Sus scrofa: one gene and its partner. The protein of the gene in region 1 purifies or fractionates together with the protein of each later gene. This does not show direct contact. Links are inferred from orthologs where the notes say so. Each region holds a gene or a part of one and is shown on either strand. Other genes may lie near its edges. The genes, in order: ATP11C and TMEM30A.

The links.
Region 2: the proteins of ATP11C (region 1) and TMEM30A purify together in Homo sapiens (co-immunoprecipitation; 4 studies listed by BioGRID and IntAct, with this or other methods). This does not show direct contact. The link is inferred for Sus scrofa from reciprocal best matches to the Homo sapiens genes ATP11C and TMEM30A.

Annotation. Positions count from the first base shown.
Region 1 is NC_010461.5:114,443,100-114,446,920, reverse strand, and holds part of ATP11C (phospholipid-transporting ATPase IG), read left to right. Parts: intron 1-966; coding exon 967-1,070; intron 1,071-1,756; coding exon 1,757-1,938; intron 1,939-3,048; coding exon 3,049-3,312; intron 3,313-3,821. UniProt on the Homo sapiens protein: Catalytic component of a P4-ATPase flippase complex which catalyzes the hydrolysis of ATP coupled to the transport of aminophospholipids, phosphatidylserines (PS) and phosphatidylethanolamines (PE), from the outer to the inner leaflet of the plasma membrane.
Region 2 is NC_010443.5:90,684,161-90,688,715, forward strand, and holds the end of TMEM30A (cell cycle control protein 50A), read left to right. Parts: intron 1-427; coding exon 428-621; 3' UTR 622-3,844; downstream 3,845-4,555. UniProt on the Homo sapiens protein: Accessory component of a P4-ATPase flippase complex which catalyzes the hydrolysis of ATP coupled to the transport of aminophospholipids from the outer to the inner leaflet of various membranes and ensures the maintenance of asymmetric distribution of phospholipids.

The DNA of each region.
Region 1 (3,821 bases):
GCTGTTCTTACCCATTCACATGCACATATGCATTCTTTTGCCAGTGGTGAGGTGTCTGAGGAAGTGGTCTACCATGGGCCTTGACCTCAGAACTACCCTTTTTTAACTTTTTTAAATTAGCATTTTGCTTTTATAAGGATGGAATGTCTTTCTTAATGGTCAGCTGTGTCCACTTTCCTGGAAGTACATGACTGGTCTGTAAAGCTGGACTTGTACTAGCATTCTGTAAGGCTAGCCTCAAGTTTCCAGTAAAAACCATCAAGCTACTGTTTTAAAAGCTAACATGTATAGTCTTTCAAAATGATTTTATCTTGTTTGAGCTTGAGTTTGGTCCTTGACATCTGTAGATGCCACATGTGAACTTTAGACCTTGATTGACAACATCCTGAAAGAGAATTCAAATGCAGCTCCTTGACACAAGCACAGTCCTCTGTGACTCATTGCAAGGAAGTATGTTTTGACAGAGGTGCATGTTGTAAACTCTACGATATTAGTTGTGTCCGTATTGGTCCTAAAACATGGTGAATGTTGTCCTGACAGATTAAAGGTCAAGATGTCTCGCTGCATTTAGGTGAGCATTCCAAGGCAGGCTCAGGATACACAGCAGCTGGGTGGGAGACACCGCCTTAATAGCTACGTGTTACTAAGATCCTAGTACCAGAGTTCCCATCGTGACTCAGTGGAAATGCATCTGACTGGCATCCATGAGGACGCAGGTTCAGTCCCTGGCCTTGCTCAGAGGGTTAAGAATCCTGTGTTGCCGTGAGCTGTGGTGTAGGTTGCAGACGCGGCTCGGATCCCAAGTTGCTATCGCTGTGGTGTAGGCCTGCGGCTGTAGCTCCGATTCGACCCCTAACCTGGGAACCTCCATATGCCACAGGTGTGGCCCTAAACAGACAAAAAAATTTTAAAATCCCAATACCTGTCTTGAAATTCTAAGTCAAGTACTCTTGTTCTTTATTTTAGGAGACATTCTTCTCTTTTGTAAAGGAGCCGACTCAGCAGTTTTCCCCAGGGTGCAAAATCATGAAATTGAGTTAACTAAAGCCCATGTGGAACGTAATGCAATGGTGAGACTATACCTTTCCCCCTAATAGAAAGAGAAATGCTAGAGATGACTACGTTTATGGATTACTATTTTCAAGGACTGTTTAAACGAATTTTAGCTTATTTTGTCATCTTTTTTTGTATTTTTTCTTGATTTTTTAGGGCTGTACCTGCAGCATATGGAAGTTCCCAGGCTAGGGGTCGCATCAGAGTTGCACCTCCAGGCCTACACCAGAGCCACAGCAATGTCAGATCCGAGCCGCGTCTGTGACCTACACCACCACAGCTCATGGCAATGCTGTATCCTTAACCCACTGGGCAAGGCCAGGGAATCGAACCTGCATCCTCATGCATACTAGTCGGGTTCATAACCCACTGAGCCACAACAGGAACTCCCTCCTTATTTTTATATAAAACACCCTATTGCAAGTTTCTGTTTAGAATTTGTAGCTTTTGAAGATTCTTGAAATCTTTATGTTCTCCTCTTTAAAAATATTTTTTAAATTTTTTACCCCAAGAGGCATTATTTTGTTATTCTGAACCTAATTGGATATTAACCTATTGAATATTATGCAGCGTGTTCTTTTTTTTCTTTCTTTTTTAACTAAAAATGTGTCTGTTTCTCTTTTGTATGGTAAAGCAAGAGTCTTTAATGGGTGTTTTGTTTTTATTTATTTGGATAAGTCACGATCTCTTACTTTACTTTTAGGATGGGTATCGGACACTTTGTGTAGCCTTCAAAGAAATTGCTCCAGATGATTATGAAAAAATTAACAGACAACTCATAGAGGCGAAAATGGCCTTACAAGACAGAGAAGAAAAAATGGAAAAGGTTTTTGATGATATTGAGACAAACATGAATTTAATTGGAGCCACTGCAGTGGAAGACAAGTAACTAGAAAATGATATTGTTATTTTAATGACCAATCATTTAAGATGGTATCTATCCAAATTGATAACTTATTCTCAAATTTTAAAATCTTTGATTCAGCTTTGTGAGTACACCAGATTTTGAACTGTTTGTGGGAATGATTTTCAAGTTAAATATTTGTGGCTTAGGAGAATGAATTCGTCATCTCTGAGGTCTTTTGAATACTTACTAAGCCATGAATTTATGCAGATATTTATGAAAGAGTCTTACTATGTGTAGAAAGCTTTGTGCTAGGGGTATCGTTTGAGTTGGTACCTGGTAGAGTCGGTACAATTTTGACAGACTAGAGCATGATTTTGCATACTTTAAAATAATTTGCTCTAAATATACAGGCTGAGCTCTGCTGGGCATGATTATAGGGCTCCAGAATTGATACGCTTGAAAAAATAAGTCTTAGATTCTGTTTTAGGAGTCTTCTAGAAGTTATGAATGTAAACTGTGACGCTTAACCCAAACAAGAATTTGTAAACCTATATTTAGCCGAGTTGGAAAGTATTGGAATTCTAATAGAATTCATTTTTTTCTAATTTCATTGTTGTTCTCTGGCCAAAAGGAACACAGAATATCGTTCTTCTATCCTTGCCTCTCAGAATTATGCTTAAATTCTCTTTCAGAATGGCTGGCTTTCCTATACTTCAAGCTCCTCAGAGATGGGGATTTGCTAACTTCCCTTGGTATCGCATTAGAATGTGTTTGCCCCTTTCAGTTTTGAGCCATGTCAAGTATTTGTATGATGGGATATAAAATGTAATGAAATATGTTAAGTGAATAAGAACATTTGTTGAGTTTCTGAACATTTTAGCTGAGTGATGATTCTTAATTCTGTCGTTGGTTACCTCAAGAGATGTCATGAACTTTCCAGATCTCATTGTTTAAAATGTTACTTTAATCACAATGCCAGAAAGTGTGTGCTTAGAGAGAGTGGGAGGATATATAAGAAAACCAACTGTGATAACACGTCTGGACTCCAGAATTGCTATGAATTATAAAAATATTCTTTCACAAGCCTTCTTGCAGAATCTCTATGTCAGGAATTTTTGAAGATAACAAGGTTTTCTTTGTGTTCTCAGGCTACAGGATCAAGCTGCTGAGACCATTGAAGCTTTGCACGCAGCAGGTCTGAAAGTCTGGGTGCTTACTGGGGACAAGATGGAGACAGCCAAATCCACCTGCTATGCCTGCCGCCTTTTCCAAACCAGCACCGAGCTCTTGGAACTGACCACCAAAACCATCGAAGAAAGTGAAAGGAAAGAAGATCGATTACATGAGTTGTTGATTGAATATCGTAAGAAGTTGCTGCATGAATTTCCTAAAAGTACTAGAAGCCTTAAAAAGTAAGAAAGTGCATAGATTCATTATATTTATGCATTGGTACAGATGTAAATCACAGCTGTTCATGCAGAAGTCTCCATTTTCTGTAATTTATTATTCTTTGTTTGCAGGTGCTTTATTTCCTGTAAGTTAGAACCTTCCCTGAGGACTTGGCTAGTGACCCATTTGAGATTATTTGGCCCTCTCCAACTCTCCTTTCATTTAAAAGAAAACCTTGCACTTCTCAAGCTTTAGAAAAGTGGTTCACTTTCTAAATGTTTAGGGTCCGGGTATTTATCAGTACTATTCTGGCTTGGTCTGTGTTAAAAAATATTCCTTTCCATGATCTCTTAAATTGAATGTAATAAAATCAGTCTCTAAAACAGTTTCCATGCACATTGAGGTCCTGGAGCCATTTTCTGTGTGGATTTTCGTGCCCCAGTACCCAAAGGAGACCAAATACTTAATAACATGGGCACTCGACTGCTTTCAACAAGCTGCTTAGGAAGAACTCGCAGAACCTAAGCTTCTC
Region 2 (4,555 bases), on another chromosome or scaffold:
AGCAATGCCAGATCCTTAACCCTCTGAGTGAGGCCAGGAATGGAACCTGTAACCTCATGATTCCTAGTTGGATTCGTTTCCGCCGTACCACGACGGAAACTCCTCATATTGCATTTCTTTATGGCCTTTTGCCCCTCCTGTTCAGTGAGAACAGAAATACCTGAGAAATGAGATATTATATAGCCCTTAAGTTTAGATATTTTTCCTTGTAAACTGTGTTGGCTTTTACTACTAACATTTAACTTGTGGAATCAGTTCTTCAGGATAATAAAAACAATTTATTTTGTGATTCAGAACATCTGAGTAAAGTGTCTGTGTTTTATAGAATGATACCAGTGAATTGCAAGCAACTGAGTGCTAACTTTTTAAGTTGTATTTTAAAAATCGATTAATCAGACATGGAAAAGTCTTCCTATACACCCTTCAGATTATCCTGTGCATTCATTTGATGGACGAAAACGGATGATCTTGAGCACTATTTCATGGATGGGAGGAAAAAATCCATTTTTGGGGATTGCTTACATCGCTATTGGATCCATCTCCTTCCTTCTGGGAGTTGTACTGCTAGTAATTAATCATAAATATAGAAACAGTAGTAATACTGCTGACATTACCATTTAATTTTATATTCTGAAAACAAATTTACTGCATGTGCATCAAGGCCAGTCCTATTCAACCTTGCTTTCAAATGCTGATGTCTGGTTAGTATGTCATTTTTGAAGTTGGCACATAACTTTTTTTTAAAGCAATCTTTGTCCTTTGCTTCTTCCTTATGGATGACTTATGAAAATATATGACGGGTATAAGAGAAATTAACTATAGTGATCATATCAACACTGTAACTGCTGAAATGGCATTCTGATGTTTGCATTCTGTTGGGACAGGCCGTATGATGCATAGAGCCTCTTTGAAGTGAAACGCGTCTGCTGCTTAAATGTTTATACTGTGTCGATAATATTATATTGACATGTGATACTGTATATGTGTGCCTATTGTGTGAAGAGCGGATTACAATATGTATGAGAATAATGACTTGCTAACTTTCAGGATTCAAGAGTTACAAAAAGATGAAGAAAGACCAAATCTAAATAAAATACTTCATCATTTTCATGTGTCGTGTGTACAGGCTTCAAGGACCATCTTTGTTGAGGTGGTCCACATATTCACTTTACCCAGTATAGTTCTTTGTTGAGCTTCTTTTAACTTTGATTTCAAAGGGCATGGTTACCCGTCTAGCATAGGACTTAATGCTTTTGTCTGAAGAGGTCAGGTAGGTCTCAGGAGAATTTAAAATTCCTCTTTCCATTTGGTTAAGATACTGCAGTCAGGAAACCCAGCTCACTTGATGTTTTATGTGTGAACATTTCCTTTGAAGCTTGCACTTCCTAAGGGGTGAAAGAATGTAGGTGAGCTGGGGAAACTTCTTGGCAGATCTTTACCTTCTGCCTCAACTGTAAACCGTATGTAAATGTTCAAAGGAGACTCTTTTCATTCTTGTGGTATTTAACATTCAGAAATTTTCTTCAGCATTGGAAATACCTCAGGCTGTTTTTATTTTGCAGGTAAGTGTTTTAACTTAAGTGTACCAATAATTGTATACCAGAAATTTTGGCGAATAATAACCTTCATTTCTTCCATATGTCTTTCAGTTTTTGCTGATAGGTCAAATATGAACGTGTATGCACATTCTCTTTAGTTAAGGCACCAGTTATTATGGTTGGTATTTCTAAGATGTACTTTAAAAAGAAGTTCTTTAAATTTCCTGAATAATTTCTGGAGATTTTGGAGTATGTATATGATTATAGTATGCGTCTCTGTGTGTGTGTGTGTGTGTGTATGTGTGTATATATATGTATATGCTTGAAGTTACTTTATTTTCTATTAACTGGAATTATTTTAATATTCTTTATTGAATAAACGCTGTAATTTGTTTGCTGTGGAACTTATTCTTGAATGTAAACTTACTTTTTCACATGCATGAAAGGTATTTCTTAATCAGAGGTGGCTTAATTGCATTGAAATGGCTATTTTTTTTTAACTAAAATATCTCATATGTTTGTATAAATGAATGCTGTTTGACTTCAGAGTTCGTAATGGTTTCCTTTGGTTATATTTTAAATCAAAAGGTCTGGGTAATGTATCAATTTTGATTAATATATGTTTTTTTAAAACAAAAAGAAAACCTCAAAAAATAATGTAATGATTAATAGTAGAAATGTGCCACACTTCTTAAGTTTTGTATAACATGAAATTCAGCTAAAACAACTTGCAGTTTATAATGACTTGTAACAGGTAGACTATTACTTGCATGAGGTACTTAATGTATGATTGATTATCCTGCAGTGTCTGAGTATATAGGGTATTCTTTATGTGAAACTATTCTTTTGTCTTGTCAGTCCTTCAGAATATGGCTGTTTATTCTGGTAATAGAGCCTACCGCACATGGCAGTTGACTTTGTGGAGTCACCACTGGGGGAAGGGTCTTCTAGTCTTTGCAGATTGAGTCTGTGCTGTTAAGATGGACTGCCAGCCTGTATCTCTTTCTCACTGTGGGATCAGAGGTGCCGCTGCAGAATAGCTGAAGAGTGCTTCCAGTGCTTCCTCATCTGTGGTGAAGATGGAGTCCTAAAACATATTTGGAGTTTTATCAGTTTTACAAGTACATTGATGGCCTAAATTCTCCTTGTCTCCTGCCATTTGAGCTCTGAGGGATTCCTGTTGCTAAATACGAAGAATGTGGAACATTCATATGGCCTCTGTGACTGAGGAAGGAATACATTTCCTCCTTACCAGCTTCATGCTCATCTTTTGGAAACACTGATGTCATACTCAACTTCCAAAGAATCATATTGTGTTTTAAGACAGCTAGGTTAAGTAGAAGGCAGTGAAGAATGCACTAACTTGGAGGAAATATTTTGATAGACAAAGTTCCCAATTGAAGGAATTATTTAATAAGTAAAAGCTAAGAAATTTCTTTGAAATCGTAAAGCAGTTTAAAAATAAATTAGTTAAAATAACTATACTACCTAACAATTATTCAACCAAGTGGAGAGTCAAGTGAATATTATTTGTTTATTGGGTTGGTAACAGTTTATTTCTAAGCTTGATTCTGTTGAAAGATAACCTTCTGTTAGTATGTTCTATATTAATAAAAATGAACACAATTTTGCTATGTTCAAGTGTCTTGCTAAAATAACAGTGCCCCAGTGTTGTTGCTAGTAATATTTAGGACTAAATTTTAGCTCAGGGTCAGTAAGTCCAAATTTTAACATTTTCATGCTTAGATTTTATTGCCATATGTATAAATATTAATCATTCTGACAGCATTAACTGCAGGGTTTACTGAGAAACATCTGTTCTTACCAGGAAGTAGTCAGATTGTAATCTCAGTTATGGGCAGACAGGCTAAATTTGGCAGTAGATAAGGGAAAATTTCTGGTAAATAGAAAATGTATAACTCATGGAGAGACAAGGATGATGAAAATAATGAAGTGGGTGGAGATATGAAAAGCCAGACTAGGAAAGGGGTGTCTGAAAAGTAGGGTTCAGCCTGCTCACCTCTTATCTTCATGGAAACACTGCCTTAAAATTACTTTATGGTCCTTTGTTGGTTTAGCTGCAAAGTTATATTCTTTGTGAACATGGATATTTTGAGGGGAGGGTGGAGGGAGTAAGGAAGTGCTGTTTCAAGAAGAATTTGGTGCATAGAGTTTTGTTGTATCTGGATAAACTAGTAAAGTGTATTAGAGCCTCTTTTTAGCCCATGCCCCATTCAATAAACATAAAAATCACATTTCCCCAGATGTCATTTGAAATTTCAAAATAAATATCTTGTCTAAAATCAGATCATGGTGACCTTATTTGCTTTTATATATCTAAAATTTATTAAAGTAACATGTGCATAGTTTTAAAAATTTTTTTCTAAAGGCCTTATGATGAAAACCAGTGGTCCCTGTCCCAACTTTTTTTTTTTATGATTTTTATTTTTTCCATTACAGTTGATTCATAGTGTTATGTCAATTTCTACTGTACAGCCAAGTGACCCAGTCATTCATATATTCTTTTTCTCACAATATCCTCCATGTTCCATCACAAGTGACTGGATATAGTTCCCAGTGCTATGCAGCAGAATCTCATTGCTTATCCACTCCAAATGCAGTAGTTTGCATCTTTTAACATCAGATTCCCAGTCCAGCCCACTCCCTCCCCCTCCCACCCCCCTTGGCAACCACAAGTCTATTTTCCAAGTCCATCAGTTTCTTTTCTGTGGAAAGGTTCATTTGTGCTGTATATTAGATTCTAGATATAAGTGATATCATATGGTATTTGTCTTTCTCTCTCTGTCTTACTTGACTTAGTATGAGAATCTCTAGTTCTATCCATATTGCTGCAAGTGGCATTATTGTGTTCCTTATGGCTGAGTAGTATTCCATTGTGTATATGAACCACATCTTCTTAGTCCATTCATCTGTCCATGGACATTTGGTTGTTCCCATGTCTTGGCTATTGTGAATAGTGCTGCAATGAACATGCATTGTGCATGTGTCTCTTTCAA